Anolis sagrei: one gene and its partners. Each later gene encodes a partner of the first gene's protein in a complex. Links are inferred from orthologs where the notes say so. Each region holds a gene or a part of one and is shown in the gene's direction. Other genes may lie near its edges.

Region 1 (7,895 bases):
CCAGTCGGGGTTGGCTTGACGTGCCTTCCTCTTGGCACGTTTCTCTCTTTCGCCCTCCATTAGTGCCTCTTCAAATTCGGCAGCACTGCTGATCACAGCTGAACTCCAACTGGAGCACTCAAGGGCCAGGGCTTCCCAGTTCTCAGTGTCTATGCCAGATGAGCCCATCTTTCAATCTCTTTTCCTGCCCACCAACATTCCATGTTCTGTTCTTGAGTTCAGAGTAGAGCAATTGCTTTGGTAGATGGTGGTTGAGCATCCGGACAACATGGCCGGTCCAGCGGAGTTGATGGCAGAGGACCATCGCTTCAGTGCTGGTGGTCTTTGCTTCTTCTAGCACACTGACATTTGTCCGCTTGTCTTCCCAAGAGATTTGCAGGATTTTCCGGAGGCAACGCTGATGGAATCATTCCAGGAGTTGCATGTGACGTCTGTAGACAGTCCGCATCTCACAGGCATATAGCAGGATTGGGAGGACAATAGCTTTATAAACAAGCACCTTGGTATCCCTACGGATGTCCCGGTCCTCAAACACTCTCTGCTTCATTTGGAAAAAAGCTGCACTCGCAGAGCTCAGGCGGTGCTGTATTTCAGTGTCAATGTTGACTTTTGTGGAGATGTGGCTGCCATGGTAGAGGAAATCAGGCCCGTAGCCAGGATTTCGATTGGGGGGGGGGGGTCTGAGTTTGTTTCGGGGGGGGGGGGGGCTGAGTCTGAGTGAAAGAGGGTCTAGCCTAGCAAACCTTTTGTATCGTTACCCCAGTACCCCCATGCATATGGGATATATTGAGCATGGTGATCAGATCATGATATGAATAAACATAACAGTTTAAACAATGCACCAGTAAGGCCTTTTCACGAACCACCATGAGAATTTCGGGGGGGGGGGGGGGGGGTTAAGCCCCTCGAGCCCCCCCCCCTCCCCCCGGCTACATGCCTGGCAGAAATGGTCAACATTTTCTAATGTTACACCATTAAGCTGTATTTCTGGCATTGGAGAGCAATTGGCTGGTGACTGCTGGAAGAGCACTTTGGTTTTCTCGATGTTCATTGACAGGCGAAGCTTCTCATATGCTTCCGCAAAGGTGTTAAGAGTGGCTTGTAGACCTTCTTCTGAATGCGCACAGATGATGTTGTCATCAACATATTGGAGTTCTATAACAAATGTTGTAACCTTGGTTCTGGCTTTCATTCTACTGAGGTTAAATAGCTTGCCATCTGTCCGAAATCATCGATAAATTTATTTATTTATTTATCTATCATGTCAGGAGCAGACCAAACAGCTGCATTGCATTTTTTAACAAACAAAAAAACAAACAGACAAACAAAACACAAAGTTTGCAAGCTTAGTAGTTGATTAAATGTCCTTTGACCAGTAGCTGGCCACTTGGAGTGCCTCTGGTGTTGCTGCAAGAAGGTTCTCCATTGTGCATGTGGCAGGGCTCAGGTTGCATTGCAGCAGGTGGTCTGTGGTTTGCTCTTCTCCACACTCGCATGTCGTGGATTCCACTTTGTAACCCCATTTCTTAAGGTTGGCTCTGCATCTCGTGGTGCCAGAGCACAGTTTGTTCAGTGCTTTCCAAGTTGCCCAGTTTTCTGTGTGCCCAGGGAGGAGTCTCTCATTTGGTATCAGTCATTGATTGAGGTTCTAAGTTTGATCCTGCCACTTTTGGACTCTCACTTGCTGAGGTGTTCCAGCGAGTGTCTCTGTAGATCTAAGAAAACTATTTCTTGATACCCAAACAGGTGATGAGCTGGAGATGTCACTGCCTTGGTCATTTCACTATTGGTTGCTACTTCCCGGCGGATGTCAGGTGGTGCAATAACGGCTAAGCAGTGTAATTTCTCCAGTGGTGTAGGGCGCAGACACCCTGTGATAATGCGGCATGTCTCATTAAGAGCCACATCTACTGTTTTAGTGTGGTGAGATGTGTTCCACACTGGGCATGCATACTCAGCAGCAGAGTAGCATAGCGCAAGGGCAGATGTCTTCACTGTGTCTGGTTGTGATCCCCAGGTTGTGCCAGTCAGTTTTCATATGATATTGTTCTTAGCACCCACTTTTGCTTGATATTCAGGCAGTGCTTCTTATAGGTCAGAGCATGGTCCAGAGTGACGCCCAGATATTTGGGTGTGCTGCAATGCTCCAGTGGGATTCCTTCCCAGGTAATCCTCAGAGCTCGGGATGCTTGTCTGTTCTTAAGGTGAAAAGCACATGTCTGTGTTTTAGATGGGTTAGGAATCAGCTGGTTTTCCCTGTAATAGGCAGTAAGATTACCTAGAGCTTCGGAGAGCTTCTGTTCAACCATCTCAAAGCTCCCTGCTTGAGCAGTAATGGCACGATCATCAGCATAGATGAAACTCTCTGTCCCTTCTGGCAGTGGCTCGTCTTTTGTGTAAATGTTGAACATGGATGGAGCAAGCACACTCCCCTGAGGCAGGCCATTCTTCTCTTTCCGCCATCTGCTTCTCTGGCCCTGGAACTCAACAAAGAAGCTCCTGTTTTGTATCAGGTTTCCTATGAGGCGGGTGAGATGGTAGTCCTTTGTGATATTATACATCTTTCTCAGGAGGAGGCGGTGGTTTACAATACCATAAGCCACTGACAGGTCTATGAAGACAGCTCCTGTGATCTGCTGCCTTTCAAAGCCATCTTCTATGCGCTGAGTCAGGTTCAGCACTTGCGATGTGCAGCTTTTGCCTTTCTTGAAGCCAGCTTGCTGTGGGATCAGACATTGGTCTATTTTTTCCGTAATTCTATGCAAAATAAGTCTCTCCAGAACTTTGTAGAGGTGGCACAACAGGGAGATTAATCTATAGCTATTTGGATCATTACGGCCTTTGCCTGGCTTCAAGATGGCAATGACTCTTGCTTTCCTCCAGATTTTGGGGATCTGACAGGATGCAGTGCAATTGTTCATCTGTTCCAGCAGCCAGCGCCTTGCTTTTGGACCAAAGTTCTTGATTTGTTCCATCCATAGATCATCCAGGCCAGCTGCTTTGCCATTTTTACATTTATTGGGAGCCATGTCCAATTCAGTAGATGTGCTGTCGCATGCTGGGCCTGTGCATAAGACTGTAGACAGGACACAAATTCTGTGTGCCCAACGGGACGCTGGGGCTGCCTCAGATTAAAGACCCTTGAATTTCCCCAGACAGAGTCTTTAGATTGCTTAAAGGTTCAACAAAGTTCTTTATTATTGAAAACAAACAGGTACTTCAAGGCTTTCTTAATAGTCTATTGACTCTTGTCCACTGGGAACAGTCACTATCTTCTTAACTGTAACTAACTAATGGGGAAATCCTTAACTTCTAATCTGGGCAGTCTGTCTTTGCCTCTGTTGGCGTGGAGCCCCTGCACCCGGTACCAACTGCGTCTGGCTTCCACGAGCGACCCTTACCAAGCAGAGCTTTGTAGACTTCCAGGGAAAAAGGAGTTCAGGTTTCAGTGATGGCTGACTGAAGTCCTTCAGCAAAGGAGCTGTAAGGCTATCTGATCCTTGGCCAAGCTGTGGGCTGTATAACCCTGGCCAAGCTGTAGGCTGTATATCTCTCCGGCCAAGCCGTAGAAGACAAAGCTTTCTACTAGGCCTGGGTAACAACGGAAAAATTTGTTTCTAAAATCGATTAGTTTTTTGGGGGTTTTTGCGTTTTGGTTTTAAAAAGAATTCCGAAATTTTTCTTTTAAAAAGTTCGATATTTACGAAATTTCGTAAATGTTAAAAAAATTACGAAACAATAACGAATCGATTTCGAAACAATAACGAATCAATTCGTTAATGGCGGACGCGACCGCGAAATACGCTAAAAAACCTCCAAATGGGACAGGGGGAACTTCTGAAGCTTCCCTCTCCCTCTGTTGTTGACTGTTGGTGTGATATTATAATTTTTTTTAACTAATTAAACAAAAAACAACTATAAAACTTGCCCCAGACATGCGGAAATAATAACGAAACGACTTCAAAACGATAACGAAACGAATACATAACGAATCTGAAACAATTACGAAACAAATTTAAAAATTCGTTTCGTTTTAAAGTTGCTCCAGAATGGTTCGTTATTGCTTCGTTATAAAAAAAATAACGATTTTTTAACGAATTACGAATTAACGAAACGAAACCACCCAGCCCTACTTTCTACAGGAGCTCTTGGTTTTATGTCATGTGCGAAAGGCTTCGCTGTGTGGACTGACCCAAAAAGGCTCCTATTCCCTCCAAAAACCCAAAAGGGGGACAGGACCAGGGAACCTAACTATAATTGACAGGTGGCTTGCCCTATGATTGCAGCCAAAAGAAGCCACGTATCTGCAGAGTCCCTGAAACTTAGGACTGCAACAAACATTCAATGCAAAACAAACAAAATTGGAGCTCCTGGTGCAGTTGTACCAGCACAGTAGATGTAAAAGGTTCTTGAAGGTTGTTGTTCTCAATATCTGGTTGCCTGGCTATTGGTTTCTTTCCTACTTTGGTGGCAAGGTTGGGTTTCGATAGATTATTATATATATATATACTGGGCATTGTTTTTTGTATTTGTAACGCTAGATATATGTGTGTGTGAATGTATGTATATATGTATGAGAGACAACTATGGATTGGACATAAACATTCCAGTCAGAGGGAGAGTGTGTGTGTGTGTTTGCCCTCGTGACTGGGCCGCGTGCCTCTCTGAGGCGCTTCTTTGGCGCTGGGCCTCGTCAGGCGCTCATTGGCCTCGCTTCCCTCCCTTTCCCTCTCTCAGTCCCCCCGCCTCCTTTCCCGCTCTCTTGGCGGTTGACGGAGAGGGCGGTCCTGGGGGGAGGGGCCTGCCGCTGCCGGGGCCTCCGATTGGCTGAGGGAGCCGTTCGCCTCGTCAGTCAATCGAAGCCGCTTCCTCTTCTCTCCCCTCAGACGGCGGTTGCCTCCGATTGAGGAAGGACTCGTCTCTTGCTTCTCCTCCGATGGCCGGGCGCGGCGGGAACTTCCCCATGGCCTCGCCGCCCGAGAGGCTGCCTTCCATGGCGCTCTCGGCCTCAGCAGGCGTCCCTCTTCCCCCGGGGCCCGGAGGCGGTGTGCTTTTGCGAGGAGGGCCCAGCCCCGGGGCCACCCCATTCCGGCCCATGGCGCACGGAGTCCCCTTCCAAGTAGGTGGCTTCTGGAGGAGGGAGTGTCGGGGAGCAGCACACACGAGGAAGGCATGGCTTTTAGACACGTGTCTGGGCCAGGAAAGGTTTGGCTTTCAAAGCAAGCTGCTGTTGTGTGCCTTTGAATGTTTTTTCCCCATCTCTTGTTTGGTTTTGTTTTGTTGATTTGCCCAGAAGTTGTTTGCTTTGCCTTCTCTGAGGCTGAGAGAGTGTGTGACCCGCCTGGTGGGCTTCCATGGCAGAGGCGCTGTCTACACTGCTGTCAAATCCAGTTTCTGAATCCACTTCACACTATGTAACACGATTATTGTTCCTGGGTTATTTCCATCATTTCCTAATTGGTTCTATAGAATCAAAGAGTTGGAAGAGACCTCATGGGCCATCCAGTCCAACCCCATTCTGCCAAGAAGCAGGAATTTTGCATTCAAATCACCCTTGACAGATGGCCATCCAGCCTCTGTTTAAAAGCTTCCAAAGAAGGAGCCTCCACCACACTCCAGGGCAGAGAGTTCCACTGCTGAACGGCTCTCACAGTCAGGAAGTTCTTCCTCATGTTCAGATGGAATCTCCTTTCTTGTAGTTTGAAGCCATTGTTCCTTGTCCTAGTCTCCAGGGAAGCAGAAAACAGGAGAGCAACTAAAATGATAAAAGGTCTGGAGAACAAGCGGCTTAAAGAGCTGGGCATGTTTAGCCTGAAGAAGAGAAGGCTGAGAGGGGATATGATAGCCATGTATAAATATGTGAGAGGAAGCCACAGGGAGGAGGGAGCAAGTTTGTTTTCTGCTTCCTTGGAGACTAGGACACGGAACAATGGCTTCAAACTACAAGAGAGGAGATTCCATCTGAACACGAGGAAGAACTTCCTGACTGTGAGAGCCGTTCAGCAGTGGAACTCTCTGCCCCGGAGTGTGGTGGAGGCTCCTTCTTTGGAAGCTCTTTAACAGAGGCTGGATGGCCATCTGTCAGGGGAGATTTGAATGCAATATTCCTGCTTCTTGGCAGGGGGTTGGACTGGATGGCCCATGAGGTCTCTTCCAACTCTTTGATTCTATGATTCTATGATTCTATGAAACAAGCTTGCTCCCTCCTCCCTGTGGCTTCCTCTCACATATTTATACATGGCTATCATATCTCCCCTCAGCCTTCTCTTCTTCAGGTTAAACATGCCCAGCTCCTTAAGCCGCTCCTCATAGGGCTTGTTCTCCAGATCCTTGATCATTTTAGTCGCCCTCCTCTGGACACATTCCAGCTTGTGAATGTCTCTCTTGAATTGTGGTGCCCAGAATTGGACACAGTATTCCAGGTGTGGTCTAACCAAAGCAGAATAGAGGGGTAGCATTACTTCCCTAGATCTATCATTAAAAACATGAAAAAAGTTTATGAAATTGCAAAAAAAAATATGTTTTTTTTGCAGGACATCCTGCAGGACATTTTGCTACAGGTCTTCAATTAACATTTGATTTATCGTGTCAGAAGTGAATTAAGAAAACAATTATAATTTTTTTGTCCTGTCAGGAGCAACTTGAGAAACTGCAAGTCGCTTCTGGTGTGAGAGAATTGGTCATCTGCAAAGATGTTGCCCAGGGGATGCCTGGATTTTTATTTATTTATTTATTTTTGTTGTGTCAGGAGCGACTTGAGAAACTGCAAGTTGCTTCTGGTGTGAGAGAATTGGCCGTCTGCTAGGACATTGCCCAGGGGACGCCCGGATGATTTGATGTTTTTATCATCCTTGTGGGAGGCTTCTCTCATGTCCCCGCATGAGGAGCTGGAGCTGATAGAGGGAGCTCATCCGCCTCTCCCCGGATTCGAACCTGCGACCTGTCGGTCTTCAGTCCTGCTGGCACAGCACTGAATACAGTCCTGTGTATTATAATGAATCTATATAAATAAAAATGTAATGTTCGTTTGTGAGATTAACATAACTCAAAAACCACTGGACGAATTGACACCAAATTCGGACACAATACCCTTATCAGGCCAACGAGTGACCATCACTCATAAAAACACTGAAAAACAAAGCAGAAGAATCTTAAAAGCCAAAAAATAAAAAAATTCATTACAACGCATGTGCAGAACGACATATATATACGCAAACAAATATATACACATATACACACACAAAGAACATATATATAGACTGGGCCATAGCAACGCGTGGCAAGGGATGGTAGTTTAAAATAAACACAAACAAAGTTAAAAACTTGGCATAATGCAAAAATTTCTGTGCCTCTGGTGTCACTGAAAGAAGGTCCTCTATTGTGCATGTGACAGGGCTCAGCCTGCATTGTAGTTAAGTGATATGTGGTTTGCTCTTCTCCACACTCTCATGTCGTTGACTCCACTTTGTGGCCCAATTTCTTAAGATTGGCTCTGCATCTCGTGGTGTCAGAGCGCAGTCTGTTCAGTGTCTTCCTAGTCGCCTAGTCTTCTGTGTACCCAGAAGGGAGTTTCTGATCCTGTGTCAGCCACTGTTTGATGTTTCAAGTTTTAGCCTGCCACTTTTGGACTCGTGTTTGCCAAGATGTTCTTGCGACTATCTCTGTAGATCTTAGAAAAGTATTTTCTGATTTAAGACGTTGGAATGCTGGCTGATATCCAAACAGAGGGTGGGCTGGAGATGTCAATGCCTTGGTCCTTTCTTTACTGGCTGCTACTTCTCGATACATATCAGATGGTGCAGTACCGACCAAACAGAATAATTTTTTCAATGGCGTAGGATATAGGCATCCTGTGATAATGCGGCATGTCTCATTAAGAGCCACATCCACTGTTT
Region 2 (7,890 bases), on another chromosome or scaffold:
TTATATCTCTTTCTGAAGGACAGACAAGATGGAGAGGGCTGATCTAATCTCACCAGGAAAGGAGTTCATAGAATCATAGAGCTGGAAGAGACCTCATGGGTCATCCAGTCCAACCCCCTGCCAAGAAGCAGGAAAACTGCATTCAAAGCACCCCCGACAGATGGCCATCCAGCCTCTGTTTAAAAGCTTCCAAAGAAGGAGTTTCCACCACACTCCGGGGCAGAGAGTTCCACTGCTGAATGGCTCTCACAGTCAGAAAGTTCTTCCTAATGTTCCATAGCTGGGGGGCAATCACTGAGAAGGTCCTCTCTCTCGTCTCCACCAAACACATCTGTGACGGTAGTGGGACAGAGAGCAGGGCCTCCCCAGAAGATCTTAGTCTTCGTGGTGGTTCGTAAAGGGAGATGCATTGGACAGGTAAACTGGGCCAGGGCTATTTAGGGCTTTATAGCCTAAAGCCAGCACTTTGAATTGTGCCCGGTAGCAAACAGGTGGAGCTGACATAACATTAGAGTTGTGTGCTCCCTGTATGCAGCCCTGGTTATCAACTTGGTTGCCTCTCGTTGGACTATTTGAAGCTTCCAAACAGTCTTCAAAGGCAACTCCACATAGTGTTGCAGTACTCTATCCTAGATGTAATGACAACGTGGACCACAGTGGCCAAGTCTGACTTCCCAAGACATGGGTGCAACTGGTGCGTAAGTTTTAATTGTACAAAAGCTGCCCTAGCCACCGCCACAACCTGAGGTTCCAGGCTCAGCAATGAGTTCAGGAGGATTCCCAAGCTGCGAACCTGCACCTTCAAAGGGGGTGTAACCAGGAGGACCTCTGTCTTGTCTGGATTCAACTTCAATTTGTTTGCCCTCATCCAGACTCTCACAGTGGCCAGACTTAAGCAGCTGAAGGGGGAAAGGAAAGGGCCTGAGGCTGATAGGAATTGAGGGAGTTGAAGTCCAAAACACCCAGAGAGAGGGCCCAAGTTTCCCCATGCCTGAGCTAACCTATGTTTGGGGATGAGGCCAGGATCTTGAGTAGCTCCTACTAAAAACCAGTGCAGATTTCTCATTTAGCTTGCCCCCTACTCCTTTCAAACACTTAGATGTGGCCTGTCTTAACCTTCTCCTCTCCAGGTTAAACATATCTGGCTCTCTGAGCCACTTTCTCACAGCGCTTGGCTTTGGTTGCCCTTCTCTGGACAGGTTCCAGCTTGTCAATATCCTTCTTGAACAGTGGTGCCCAGAACTGGACTGATGGGTTGACTTGGTATGCATGGAAGTTGTCCTTTGCCACTGTGGCAGGTGCCTACTCTTGACGCAGCCTTCCTGAATTCCACTTTATGCTTAAGTCAAATTGGTTGAGCAGTGTAACCTGTCCAAGTTGACTCAGACCTAAGTCCTATTGTGTCCCTTGGGGCTTATCCTGCCCTACCTTCACTGCAGTTAATGGTATGTGTCCTGATCATGTGCATCTACACGCTTAAGCGGCTGAGGGGGGAAAGGAAGGGGCCTGAGGCTGTTAGGAATGGTGGGAGTTGAAGTCCAAAACACTTGGAGGGAGGGCCAAAGCCTGCCCCTGCCTGGTGTCGAGGGAGAGTGACTCCAGCCTTCTTGTAAGCACATTAAAGCAATCCTTTTGTTTCTCCCTCTGGGTAATTCCTTTGCAGACTCCTGTAATTAGCGACAGGTAAACTCAGACGTCTTGGAGTGGGCTGCCTTTGCCAGGAGCTTTGCCAGAGCGGTGTCTGCGCTCCTTTGGCGGTGCAATTCCCCCTCTTAATGAGAAAGTTGGCAAAGCTCCTCCTCCTCCCTCCCTCCCCCCTCCCTGATGCCAGAGGTCAGGTCTCGACACGCCAAAGCAGACGATCCTGGGGGAGGAGGAAAAGACATCGTCTTTCATTTTTCCAAAAGTTCCTTGGGAGTGAAGCAAGCAGGCGGTCGGTTGGGCCACTTCGCGTTATGTAACGACGCGGAGAGGCATTCCTGGCCGGAGGGGGAGAGGAAGGGGAAGGGAAGGGAAGGGAAGGGAAGGAAAGGGTGCCCGTCCTGCGCCGGAGTCAATACGACCGTTGCAACGCTGCCAAGAAACCTGAAGCGGAAAGTGGTCGGAAGGGAAAAGCTGCGGGAAACGGAGGAGGAGGGAAAGGCGGAACTTTCTTGACTTTCTTTGCAGTGCCAGAAATGCACCCACATGGCTGGGAGGCGGTCTCTGCAAGAGCATGGTTTAGGCTGGATCTGCACTGCCATAGTTTGAACTGCAGTAAATACTGGAACCCTTGTGCCAGCAGGACTGAAGACCCACAGGTCGGAGGTTCGAATCCAGGGAGAGTGCGGATGAGCTCCCTCTGTCAGCTCTAGCTCTCCATGCGAGGACATGAGAGAAGCCTCCCACAAGGATGATAAACCATCAAAATATCTGGGCGCCCCCTGGGCAACGTCCTTGCCCACGGCCAATTCTCTCACACCAGAAGCGACTTGCAGTTTCTCAAGTCGCTCCTGACACACTCTCACTCACTCCGAGTAGGATAGTCTTCCAGGATCAGTGTACTGGCGGTGGGTCCTTAGGTGACTGTGGAGCCCTGTTCTTGACCTGCGTCTTCTCCTCAAGTGAGGGCATTGATTTCCAGGTGGAAAAAGGTCTTAGTCAGGATTGGCTTGATTGGCACGTTTCTCTCTTTCGCCTTCCATTCGTGCCTCTTCAAATTCTACAGCACTGCTGGTCACAGCTGACCTCCAACTGGAGCACTCAAGGGCCAGGACTTCCCAGTTCTCAGTGTATATGCCAAAGGCTTTGAGCCCATCTTTAAATCTCTTTTCCTGCCCACCAACATTCCATTTTACGTTCTTGAGTTCAGAGTAGAGCAACTGCTTTGGGAGACGGTGGTCGGGCATCCGGACAATGTGGCCGGTCCAGCGGAGTTGATGGCGGAGGACCATAGCTTCAGTGCTGGTGGTCTTTGCTTCTCCCAGCATGCTGGCATTTGTCTTCGCAAGAGATTTGCAGGATTTTCCGGAGGCAGCGCTGATGGAATCGTTCCAGGAGTTGCGTGTGACATCTGTAGACAGTCCACGTTTCACAGGCATATAGCAGGTTTGGAAGGACAATAGCTTTACAAACAGGCACCTTGTTTACAAACAGGCACCTTGTTATCCCTGCAGATGTCCCGACACACACACAACGGCAGTAAATGGTTGCATACTGACTATATAACACAGTTCAAACTGCATTATATGACAGAGGAGCAGGAGGAAGTGGTCCCAAACTCCTCCAGAGTTCTGAAGGCCCCCTTCCTCCACTGACATGTATTGTGGCCCATCTACAGAGATATTCTTGGAAGACCTCAGCAAGCGAGAGTCCAAAAGTGGCAGGCTAAAACCCAGCACCTCAATCCATGGCTGATACCAAATGAGAGATTCCTTCCTGGGCACACAGAAGACTGGGCAACTTGGAAGGCATTGAACACACTGTTGGGGATTGTGGGAGTTGAAGTCCAAAACTGCATTCATCCTTTGTGCACACGTGCATGTGTGTGTGAGGAACGACTTGAGAAACTGCAAGGCACTTCTAGTGTGAGAGAATTGGCCGTCTGCAAGGACGTTGCCCAGGTGTGTTACCATTCTGTGGGAGGCTTCCCTAGTTCCAGCATGGGAGGCTCTTGCACCAGGAGATGCAAAGCCAATCTTAAGAAATGGGCCCACAAAGTGGAGTCTAAGACATGGTAGTGTGGAGAAGAGCAAACCACAGACCACCTATTACAATGCAACCTGAGCCCTGCCACATGCACAATGGAGGACCTTCTTGCAGCAACACCAGAGGCACTCCAAGTGGCCAGCTACTGGTTAAAGGACATTTAATAGAAGGCCAAGTTTTTAAACTTTGTGTTTTCTCAAATACATCAGAACTATACCCTTGGTTCGCTCTCTGATACGATAGATCAATAAATAAATGGGAAGCTGGAGCTGACAGATGGGAGCTCACCTTGGTCTCCCGGAATCAAAGCTGCTGATCTTTTGGGCAGCAGTCCAGACGGCACATGAGTTTAATAGAATGCCAAGTTTTAAAACTTTGTTTTCTCAAATACATCACAACTGTACCCTTGGTTCGCTCCTGATACAATAAATAAATAAATAAATAAATGGTAAGCTGGAGCTGACAGACGGGAGCTCATCTTGCTCCCTGGATTCAAAACTGCTGATCTTTTGGTCAGCAGCCGTGCAGGCACATGAGTTTAATAGAACGCCAAGTTTTTTAAACTTTGTGTTTTCTCAAATACATTACAACTGTACCCTTGGTTCACTGCTGATACGATAAATAAATAAATGGGAAGCTGGAGCTGACAGATGGGAGCTCACCTTGGTCTCCCAGAATTAAAACTGCCGATCTTTTGGTCAGCAGTCTATATGGCATGTGAGTTTAATAGAATGCCAAGTTTTTAAACTTTGTGTTTTCTCAAATACATCCCAACTGTACCTTTGGTCCGCTGACACAATAAATAAATAAATGGGAAGCTGGAGCTGACAGACGGGAGCTCAGCCTGCTCCCCGGATTCAAAACTGCCGATCTTTTGGTCAGCAGTCCAGACGGCACATGACTTTATTAGAATGCCAAGTTTTTAAACTTTGTGTTTTCCCAAATATCCTTGGTTCGCTCCTGATACGATAAATAAGTAAGTCCAGAGCGTGGCTCTGTGTCTCTCTCCCCTTTTCCCCGTGCCGCTGGCCCTTTAAGACCTGCTCTCCGAACACTTGCACAGAAAGGGAGTGACCTCTGGGCTTTGACAGCTCCCCTAATAACCAGCCCGAGCCCTGGCCCCGCCCACCGCGCTCCGATTGGTCGCCGGGCCGGTATCCTCTCTCCCCATTGGGCGCCCGGTTCCCCTGAGCGAACCTTTTAGAACTCCGAGGCACAATATTCTGTTACATTGTAGCAAAATGGCGACTGTCATTCACAACCCCCTGAAAGCGTAAGTAGGAATCAAAAATGTACATATTTCCGCGTGGTTTCGATATGAAAAAAGGGCGCCTTTCCCTATGCAGGCGGCCAAGGCAGGAGCGGGCTGCCGGCAAGGCTCCCTCGCTCCCGGGGTTGGTGTGGCTTGCCTTATTTGTGTGTCACACGCACAAAAGTCTCCCTCCGCGGGGGAATTTCATGGGAAGGAACCAATTGTCACCGGGGCGTCCTGCCTGATTGATTGATGGGCGGCTGGCCGGGGACGGAGAGAGTTTTGGGGGCTCTTTAAAGGCGAAGCCACGGCTTCCGTGGCAGCTCCGGGTGGTCGGAGTCGGGGAAGGAAGGAAGGAAAAGGGAAGGGAAAGGAAGGGAAAGAAGGATCGATGCCGGGCAGGATTGGGCTGGATCTAGATCTCCCTTTCTATCCAGGGCGGCTTGTGCAGCAGTTGGGGAGTTCTTTCTTTTGTATGCCTGTCTTCGTGCATTTGTGTGCCTTCTGTGCGCGACATTTCCAAGCCCGGGGAGGAAGGAAAGAGAGTCGGGGGCTTGCCTCCCTTTCCCAGCCTTTCCTGCGCCTGTTTGCCCGGAGGGACTGCGCCGCGGACCTTTTCCTTGGCAGGTCAAGCCTTGGGAGCTCTGCGTAGATATATAGATCTAGATACACGGATGTATTGATACGAAACCCTGAGGCAAAGAGACGGCCGGACTTCCTGCGCTTGGATGGGAAGTAGCCTCCCGAGAATATATAGAAATATTCGGGAGAGAAAGAGAGAGAGACCTGGGGAGGTGAAAATATATTTCTCTCCAACTCTCTGTATATATATCAAGCATGGTCGAACTTGGGATCTCCAGGTGTTTTGGACTCGAACTCCCATCATCCCTCCCAGCCACAGGTCCCTTCCTTTTCTCCCTCAGCCGCTTAAGCGAACTTGGACCCTCCAGGTGTTTTGGACTCCAACTCCCACAATCCCCAACAGACACAGGCCCCTTCCTTTTCTCCCTCAGGAAAAGGAAGGGACCTGAGGTTGTTGGGGATTGTGGGAGTTGGAGTCCAAAACAGGAAGGGGTCTGAGGCTGTTGGGGATTGTGGGAGTTGCAGTCCAAAACATCTCAGACCCTCTTCTTTTCTCAGGAAGGGGCCTGAGGTTGTTGGGGATTGTGGAGTTGGAGTCCAAAACAGGAAGGAGTTTGAGTTTGTTGGGATTGTGGGAGTTGGAATCCTAAACAGGAAGGGGTTTGAGTTTGTTGGGGATTGTGGGAGTTGGAGTCCAGTGCTGCTTCTCCTCTATTATCGCTGGCCTCTGACAGGAAGGGGTTTGAGGCTGTTGGAGATTGTGGGAGTTGGAGTCCAAAACACCTGGAGGGCCCAAGTTCGCCCATGCCTGTTCTGTATGCATGTATCAGCTCTCTCTATTTTTTCGTGTCAGGAGTGACTTGAGAAATTGAATTGGGCGTCTGCAAGGATATTGCCCAGGGGATGTTTTACCATCCTTGTGGGAGGCTTCTCTCATGTCCCCGGCATGGGGAGCTGGAGCTGACAGAGGGAGCTCATCCTCTCTCTCTCCCCGAATTCGAACCTTCGACCTGTCGGTTTAAGCCATGCCTACCTATCGAGAGATAGTTGGAGCGTGAAAGAGGGAATCCTCGGAGAGCTGGAAGACTCTCCTCGCTTCCCATTCCGGAAGCCCGTTGGCGCTCCTCTTTGGCTCCGGGTCCACGGTTCCTTCCCCTCCATCTGCCTCTTCTCCTCCCTTCCCTCCCTCGCTCCAATCTTTCCCAAAGTAGAAAGGCTTGGGGGAGGTGTGCGTGTGCGTGTGTAGATCTCGGCGTGAGGGACTCGAGGCTCCGGCGTTGTGCTGTGTGTGTGTGTGTGTTTGTTGTGTATGTGTCTCTTTCTCTCCCCGGGGGCGGGCAGGAGGCGTCCCGACAGGTGCAGCCGGCTCCGGGAAGCAGTCGGAAGGAAGGCGCTGTGAAGATTGAGGGAGGGAGGCTTTCCTGGCCGGGTTGGGGAGGAGGGGGGTAGTTCTTTCGGGCTGGAAGACACTCACACGTTTGCTCGCACAGACACGCAACCAGCCGGCTAATCCCCGAAGGCATTAAGAAGGGAAGGGAAGGGGGGGGGGAGGGGTTTGGCCGCAGGTCTGGAGGCGCCCACTCGGCTTCCGCCCTCCCCCCTCCCGCCCCTTGACCTTTAGAGCCTCACGTTTGGCGCCGGAGGAAAGGAAAAGGCTGGCTTTCCGAGGGGGAGGGGGCACTTCCCCGCTCCTTTTAAAAGCCAAGGGACTGTCTGCAGCCACTTCCTTCCCCTTTGAGCTGCGCTTCCCGCCCTTGGCCAGCAACTCGGGGCTGACTTTGGGGCCCTCCAGACGGCAGAGGGTCTTGGCAAGCGGCTCCTGGTGTGAGAGAATTGGTCGTCTGCAAGGACGTTCCCCAGGGAACGCCTGGATGTTTGACTATCCAGTGGGAGGCTTCTCTTATGTGTTCAGATGAGAAGCTGGAGCTGACAGAGGGAGCTCACCCTGCTCCCGGATTCGAACCGCAGCAGTCCTGTCAGCAAGAGCCAGCGTTTTTCATAGACGCCCCCTAGGTCACGTGTCCAACATGATTGAATGGAGTGTCATTACCTTCCCGCCGAAGCGGTACCTATTGAGCTACTGTCATTTGCATGCTTTAGAACTGCTAGATTGGCAGAAGCTGGGGCTAACAGTAGGAGCTCACTCTCTGGATTCAAACAGCAAGTTCAGCAGCTCAGTGGTTTAACCTGCTGCGCCACCAGGGGCCTATACATAAATAAAAATAAATAATTGGGGGAAGGGGAGGTTCCGGGGGGTCCACCCCAAGGCTCTTTTCAGTGGGAGGGGAGCCCACGCGAGGTGGAGAAAGCCAACTTCCAGGCGGATGGCGAGGGGAACGCCTAAGCACCCCCCTTCCCCCCGTGTTGAC
Region 3 (7,130 bases), on another chromosome or scaffold:
TAGTTTTGTAAGATCATATTTGCAGGAACATCTCAGCAAGCAAGAGTCCAAAAGTGTCAGCCAAAAACCCGGAACCTCAAGCCATGGCTGATACCAAATGAGAGACTCCCCCCTGGGCACACAGAAAACTGGGCGACTTGGACTACCTGCGTGACCACATTTCTGTGTATGAACCCACACGATCTCTTCATTCATCTGGAGAGGCCTTCCTTGCGCTCCCACATCTATCGCAGGCGCGACGTGGGGACAAGGGAGAGGGCTTTCTCAGTGGTGGCCCCTCGACTCTGGAATTCACTTCCCAAGGACATCAGGCATGCCCCAACTCTGGCAGTCTTTAGGAGGAGCCTGAAAACGTGGTTGTTCCAGTGTGCCTTCCCAGAATAATGAATTCTCAGCATTGTGCCCTCCAAATGCACTTTACATTGATTTAGGATTGTTGTACGCTCCCACTAACGCCCCATCTCTCCTACCTTATTCATGCCTAGCATTATTTTTAACTTTAATTACATTTGGCCCAGCCATACATTGTAATTGTGTGTTGTATTATTGTCATTGTATATTGCTTTTTTGTTATGAGTTTTATTTAATCTGTTTTACTGTTGTTGTTATTGCTTATATTGATGTATTGTGGGCTCGGCCTCATGTAAGCCGCATCAAGTCCCTTGGGGAGATGGTAGCGGGGTATAAATAAAGTTTAATAATAATAATAATAATAATAATAATAATAATAAAAGGCGCTGAACAGACTGCGCTCTGGCACCACGAGATGCAGAGCCAATCTTAAGAAATGGGGCCACAATGTGGACTCCACAACATGAGGGTGTGGAGAAGAACAAACCACAGACCACCTACCACAATGCAGCTTGAGCCCTGTCATATGCACAATGGAGGACCTTCTTATAGCAACACCACAGGCACTCCCAAGTGGCCAGCTACTGGTCAAAGAACATTTAGTATAATGCTAAGTTTTTAACTTTGTGGCTTTAAATACATTACGACTGTACCCTCAGTTCGCTTCTGATACAATATAAATAATATAAATAAAGATTATTATTAATATTATTTGATACATAACAAGATTAGTACACAGAAAACAAGATCACTGTGCTATCTTTTGTATTTTATCACATGTTGGACACTTCCCAAGTGTCTAGGACTATGTGATGTATTGGCGACTAATATGTGCAGATCCAAGAAGGGGTGGCCTTTTGTAGTTGACAGATGGTAATTTTGTCAGTGCCGTTTGTTTTTAAGTGCAGGCCAAGGTCTTTGTTGTTGTTGTTGTTGTTGTTATTTTATTACCACACAGCAAACAAGATCACTATGCTGGCTTTTGTATTGGATCACACTTTGGACACTTTCCAAGCGTCTAGGACTATGTGATGTATCGGTTAGTAATCCGTGCTTATCCAAGTAGGGTGGCTTTTTGCAGCTGACAGATGATAATTTTGTCAGCGCCTATTGTTTTTAAGTGCAGGCCAAGATCTTTAGGCACTGCACCCCAGTGTGCCAATCACCACTGGGACCACCTTTACTGGCTTGTGCCAGAGTCTTTGCAGTTTGATCTTTATATCCTCACATTATTATTATTATTATTCTTTTACTGACACAAAAACACAGTATGACACAGCAAACGAAATATATATGCTGGATTTCGTATCACAAAATCACAAGTCAAACACTTCCCAAGCGCCTAGGACTGTGTGATGTATTTTTGAATGATGCGCGCAGATTCAAGTAAGGTGGCTGATTGCATTTTATGGTTTGTCCATTTGGCATCTCTATGCCCTCATTGTGAGTAATTTTCCCTTTCTTTAATGCCATTGTGGCACATTTGTCTAGGCCAAACTCCATACTGATGTCAGTGTTGAAGATTCTGACTGTGTTGGTCAATGACTTGATTTCAGTTTTTGATTTTCCGTAAAGCTTTAGATCAGTGGTTCTCAACCTGTGGGTCCCCAGGTGTTTTGGCCTACAACTCTCAGAAATCCCAGGCAATTTACCAGCTGTTAGGATTTCTGAAGGCCAAAACATCTGGGGACCCACAGGTTGAAAACCACTGATTTAGATCATCCATGTACAGCAAGTGAGAGATTTTTGGTGAATTTCTTGCTGTTTGGTAGCCTATGTTTGTTTTCTGTAGAATTACTGACAGTGGGATAATTGCAATGATGAACAGCAGTGGTGACAGTGAGTAACCTTGGAAAATTCCTCTCTTGATGTTAATAGTTCCATAGCTTTCGCTGCCCACAAACAACTCCATTTTCCATTGTTTCATTGCATTTTCAGTGAACTTTCTAATATTTTCACAAACCCCGATGACATCTAGAAATTTGATAATCCAACAATGTGTCAGTGAGTCAAATGCTTTTTTGTAATCAATCCAAGTTGTATAGTAATTATTATTATTATTATTATTATTACTTTACTTAGGCGATCCCTCATATCTGAGGATGATGGTCCTCCAAGTTCGGTGTCCTGGTGGTGGGTTCGTAGGTGACTGGAGCCCTATTCTTGATCTGCATCTTCTTCCACAGTGACGGCATTGGTTTCCAGGTTGAAGGTGGTCTCGGATGGGCCTTCCTCTTGGCACATTTTCTCACCCTCCATTCGTGCCTCTTCAAATTCTGCAGCACTGCAGGTCACAGCTGACCTCCAGCTGAAGCGCTCAAGGGCCAGGGCTTCCCAGTTCTCAGTGTCTATGCCAGAGTTTTTGAGGTTGGCTTTGAGCCCATCTTTTATTTATTTATTTATTTATTTACAGTTCTTATATTCCGCCCTTCTCACCCCGCAGGGGACTCAGGGCGGATTACAGTCAACACATATATGGCAAACATTCAATGCCAGTTTGACAAACAACATTTAACACACAAATACACCAAGGCTATTTAACTTTTTTCTGGCCGCCAGGGGAGCTGCTGCTTTTCATCGTCCATCAACAACACCGATGAAGTTCTTCCGCATTCCACATTCCCCGGAGTCTTCTTTCTTTATGGCCTCATAAATTAGTTAAATTTAGCCTCCCACACAAGGTGGTCCCTTATTTTCCTACTTGACAGATGCAACTGTCTTTCGGGTTGCAAAGGTCGACAATGGGCTACACAATGGCTGGACACCCACTCCAGCCCGGGCTGGCTTCGAACTCATGACCTTTTGGTCAGAGTGATCTTAATGCAGCTGACACTCAGCCAGCTGCGCCACAATCCCGGTGCTTTAAATCTCTTTTCCTGTCCACCAACGTTCCGTTTCCCGTTCTTGAGTTCGGAGTAGAGCAACAGCTTTGGGAGATGGTGGTCGGGCATTCGGACAACATGGCTGGTCCAGTGGAGTTGATGGCGGAGGACCATTGCTTCAATGCTGTTGGTCTTTGCTTCTTCCAGCACGCTGACATTTGTCCGCCTGTCTTCTCAAGAGATTTGCAGGATTTTCCGGAGGCAGTGCTGATCGTTCCAGGAGTTGCATGTGACGTCTGTAGACAGTCCACGTTTCACAGGCATATAGCAGAGTTGGGAGGACAATAGCTTTATAGACAAGCACCTTGGTATCCCTACGGATGTCCCGGTCCTCAAACACTCTCTGCTTAATTCGGAAAAATGCTGCACTCGCAGAGCTCAGGCAGTGTTGTATTTCGGTGTCAGTGTTGATTTTGGTAGAGAGGTGGCTGCCAAGGTAGCGGAAATGATCTAATGTTACACCATTAAGCTGTATCGCTGGCATTGGAGAGGGGTTGGCTGGTGTCTGCTGGAACAGGACTTTGGTTTTCTTGATGTTCAATGACAGGTCGAGCTTCTTGTATGCTTCTGCGGAGGTGTTCAGAGTGGCTTGTAGATCTTCTGAATGCGCACAGACAACGTTGTCATCAGCATACTGGGGGGGGGGGTCACCAAATACAACTCCCTATATTCCACAGCATTGAGCTATGATAATGCTGACGCCTTTCCACCGCTAGAAGGCGCTCAGGCTAGTTCAGGCGAGCCTGCGCCTCGGGGCCAGCAGGGGTCGCTGTGCTCGAGGGCCGCGCCTGGGCGAAGGAAGGAGGGAGGGAGGGAGAGAAGGCCTGGGCGCGCGCTGGCGCGGTGGGCGCGCGGTGGGGCCTGTGCCGGCAGAGGGCGCTGCGGGGCTGCTGCTCCTTCGGCCGAAGAGGCGTCCAGAGACGAAGGCGGCGCGGCCCAGGCCGGCGGCGGCGCTGCTGCTGCGAAAATGGCGGTGCGGAAGAAGGACGGCGGCCCCAACGTCAAGTACTACGAGGCCTCCGACACTGTCAGCCAGTTCGACAGCGCGCGGGTCTGGCTGGGCAAGAACTACAAGAAGGTAGGCCCGGGCCTGGGCCTGCCGGACTGCCATCGGAGAGGCCTTTCGGGGCTTCTCCGCCCCGGATCACGGCCGGCCTGCTAGCAGAATGGGAAGAGAGAGGGACTGGAGATCTTAAGGAAAGGGGGAAGAGGAAGGGAGGGAGGTGATGGGCATCGGAGGGGCACCGGGCCCCCTCCCCACCCTGCCTTCCATGGGGACGGAGGGAGAGAGGGAGGGAAGGAGGGGATCCTTAAAACTGCACGTCTTACATCAAAGTCTCTCCCTTGGCCCCACGAGCAGCACCTCCATTTATTATTCCTACTCCCTTTCCATCAGGAATCAGCCCTCTTTGGATCACCAGCACCTCCTAGAAAACAGATCCCCCCTTTTTTCTTGAGAAATGGCCATAATCTCAATTGCAGGGTGGCAGGCACGTTTCTTTGACATCTTCGCGCCTGGTGCCCTATTGTCCTTTGCCCCAAGATCAAGCCCTTCTTATTCTCCCATTCATTAGTTCCCACCCTTCTCTACAGATCCCTTCAGGACCTGACACGGAAACTTTCATTCATTGAGGCGTTTACTTGACCTTGCATTTTTTGTTTTTGATTTTAGTGCAGGGTGGGTCAAAAGTCACAAAGAGGTCCTGCATCCTGTACGTGATGCAGGGGTATTGGATTGCCATTTATGAGATTGGATTTTTCACACGTCATGTACATTTATTTATGAGATTCCATTTATGAGATTGAATTTTTCTTGTGTAATGTATATATAAATTAAATATATGCACACAGCGGGTTAAACTGCTGAACTTGCTGACCGAAAGGTCGGTGGTTTGAATCCAGAGAGTGGAGTAAGCTCCTGCTGTTAGCCCCAGCTTCTGCCAACCTAGCATTTCAAAAGCATGCAAATGTGAGTAGATCTGTAGATACCCCTTCAGTGGGAAGGTAATGGCGCTTCATGCAGTCATGCTGGCCACATGGCATTGAAGGTGTCTATGGACAACACTGACTCTTCAGCTTACAAATAGAGATAAGCACCACCCCATAGAGTTGGACACGACTAGACTTAATGCCAAGGGGAAATGTTTACCTTTACCTATCATCATATATGTTATTGTATATTAAAAACAAAACATAAAGGAGCAATAAAGTATTGAAACCCTTTCATGACTTTTGGCCCACCCAGTACCTTCAAATTGCTTTTCGTTCTCCTGGAGCAGCCTCAGTCCCTTTCCTTCCTGCTGGAGATGTGCTCTTTGGCAAGCAGAAAACTTAGCAGTTTTGCAATTTTGAAATGGGATGTGCTGGTTTATTCCCTTATGAGAGATGTTTCAATAACCTCTTTTGGGCATCCAACCTTGCTTTCATTTATTTGTTCTAATGTCAACAGAAATCAGAAATGCATTGTGTATTACAGTTTACAAATGGGGTTGTATTGGAAATGTGTCTGCTGTTTTCTGCCAACAAGTGTCATTGGATGTTGAATCAATGTATTTCTCAATCTCCCTTGTGTCGGCAAGTCTGCTGACCAAAAGGTCAGCAGTTCAAGTCTGGGGAGCAGGATGAGCTCCATCTGTCAGCCCCAGCTTCCCATGCAGGGACATGAGAGAAGCCTCCTACAGGATGGTAAAACATCCGGGCATCTCCGGGCAACATCCTTGCAGATGGCCAATTCTCTCACACCAGAAGCGACTTGCAGTTTCTCAAGTCACTCCTGACACGAAAAAAAAATCTCTGTAATTTGTTAAGAGGAGCCAAAGGCCCAGAAGCTGATGTGAAAGCTGTTTTTAATTCCCCCTATAGACATGCACTTCTCCATAGAGGAGATGGGGACTTGGGTGGCTAGGTTCTGTGTTATGGGGCCCACACAGCCTTTTCAGTTGCTGTCACACGAAGAAGCATGGTCCAGCAAGTTTCCTCTCTTAAATGCTTTGCACTTTGACAGCTGCTTCCGTTCCACATGCTGCTGCCCAGGACTTGATTCCCAGGCTCTTACCTTTGACCTTTCAAGTGAGAGAGAGAGAGAGAGAGAGAGCGCATGCCTCAGTCCCCAGACAATTCATTGTGTTTGGAATGACAGCTTCTGACCCCATGCTCACCACTTCCCTGCTAGCAAGTTTGAATCTCTTGTCAACTGCCCTAGTTATTTGCACCAAAACTCAAGGCTGAATCTGCACTACTACATAATACAGTTTGAAATGCATTGCGTGGTTAGTGTAGACCCATACAGTGCAGTTTGAACTGCATTGATCTGCATTATATGGGTCTGTATTGACCATATCATGCAGTTAAAACTGTATTATGTAGTAGTGTAGATCTAGCTCAAGATGGAGTCCCTTTGTAGACCCTGTGCTATTACAGCGAGCAACTTTTCCTGTTTTGATGGTGTTTCCAGACAAATTAAAAAGGAAGTTTAAATGAGGGCTATTTAGGGTAGTGGGTTTCTTTCCATGGTTGCTCCTCCCCATGCTTGAGTTAAGGAGCCCTGTTCTGGCAAGACTGCTGACTGAAAGGTCAGCGGTTTGAATCTGAGGAGCGGGGCGAGCTCCCATCTGTCAGCACCAGCTTCCCATGGGAGTCATGAGAGAAGCCTCCCACAGGATGGTAAAACATATGCACTTATCATAGGCAACATCCTTGCAGACGGCCAGTTCTCTCACACCCGAAGCGACTTGCAGTTTCTCAAGTAGCTCCTGATACTAATAAAAAACTCTTCCATTATTGTTATGGACACAAGTGGGACCCATTTACTAGTTATGCATGAAAAAAATAAACCTCTCTAAGAAAGATGATGGTCTATGTTGATTATAATGCTATACAGTATTGATACGTACTGCT

Evidence for each region. The genes of interacting proteins can lie anywhere in the genome.
Region 2: SMARCD2 (region 1) and DPF3 share a complex: the UniProt entries of both Homo sapiens proteins name them as parts of the BAF complex. The link is inferred for Anolis sagrei from reciprocal best matches to the Homo sapiens genes SMARCD2 and DPF3.
Region 3: SMARCD2 (region 1) and SMARCC2 share a complex: the UniProt entries of both Homo sapiens proteins name them as parts of the BAF complex. The link is inferred for Anolis sagrei from reciprocal best matches to the Homo sapiens genes SMARCD2 and SMARCC2.

Annotation. Positions count from the first base shown.
Region 1 is NC_090026.1:37,945,199-37,953,093, reverse strand, and holds the start of SMARCD2 (SWI/SNF-related matrix-associated actin-dependent regulator of chromatin subfamily D member 2), read left to right. Parts: upstream 1-4,890; 5' UTR 4,891-4,936; coding exon 4,937-5,119; intron 5,120-7,895. UniProt on the Homo sapiens protein: Involved in transcriptional activation and repression of select genes by chromatin remodeling (alteration of DNA-nucleosome topology).
Region 2 is NC_090021.1:285,843,720-285,851,609, reverse strand, and holds the start of DPF3 (zinc finger protein DPF3), read left to right. Parts: upstream 1-4,872; 5' UTR 4,873-4,928; coding exon 4,929-4,960; intron 4,961-7,890. UniProt on the Homo sapiens protein: Belongs to the neuron-specific chromatin remodeling complex (nBAF complex).
Region 3 is NC_090022.1:138,276,637-138,283,766, reverse strand, and holds the start of SMARCC2 (SWI/SNF complex subunit SMARCC2), read left to right. Parts: upstream 1-4,112; 5' UTR 4,113-4,200; coding exon 4,201-4,311; intron 4,312-7,130. UniProt on the Homo sapiens protein: Involved in transcriptional activation and repression of select genes by chromatin remodeling (alteration of DNA-nucleosome topology).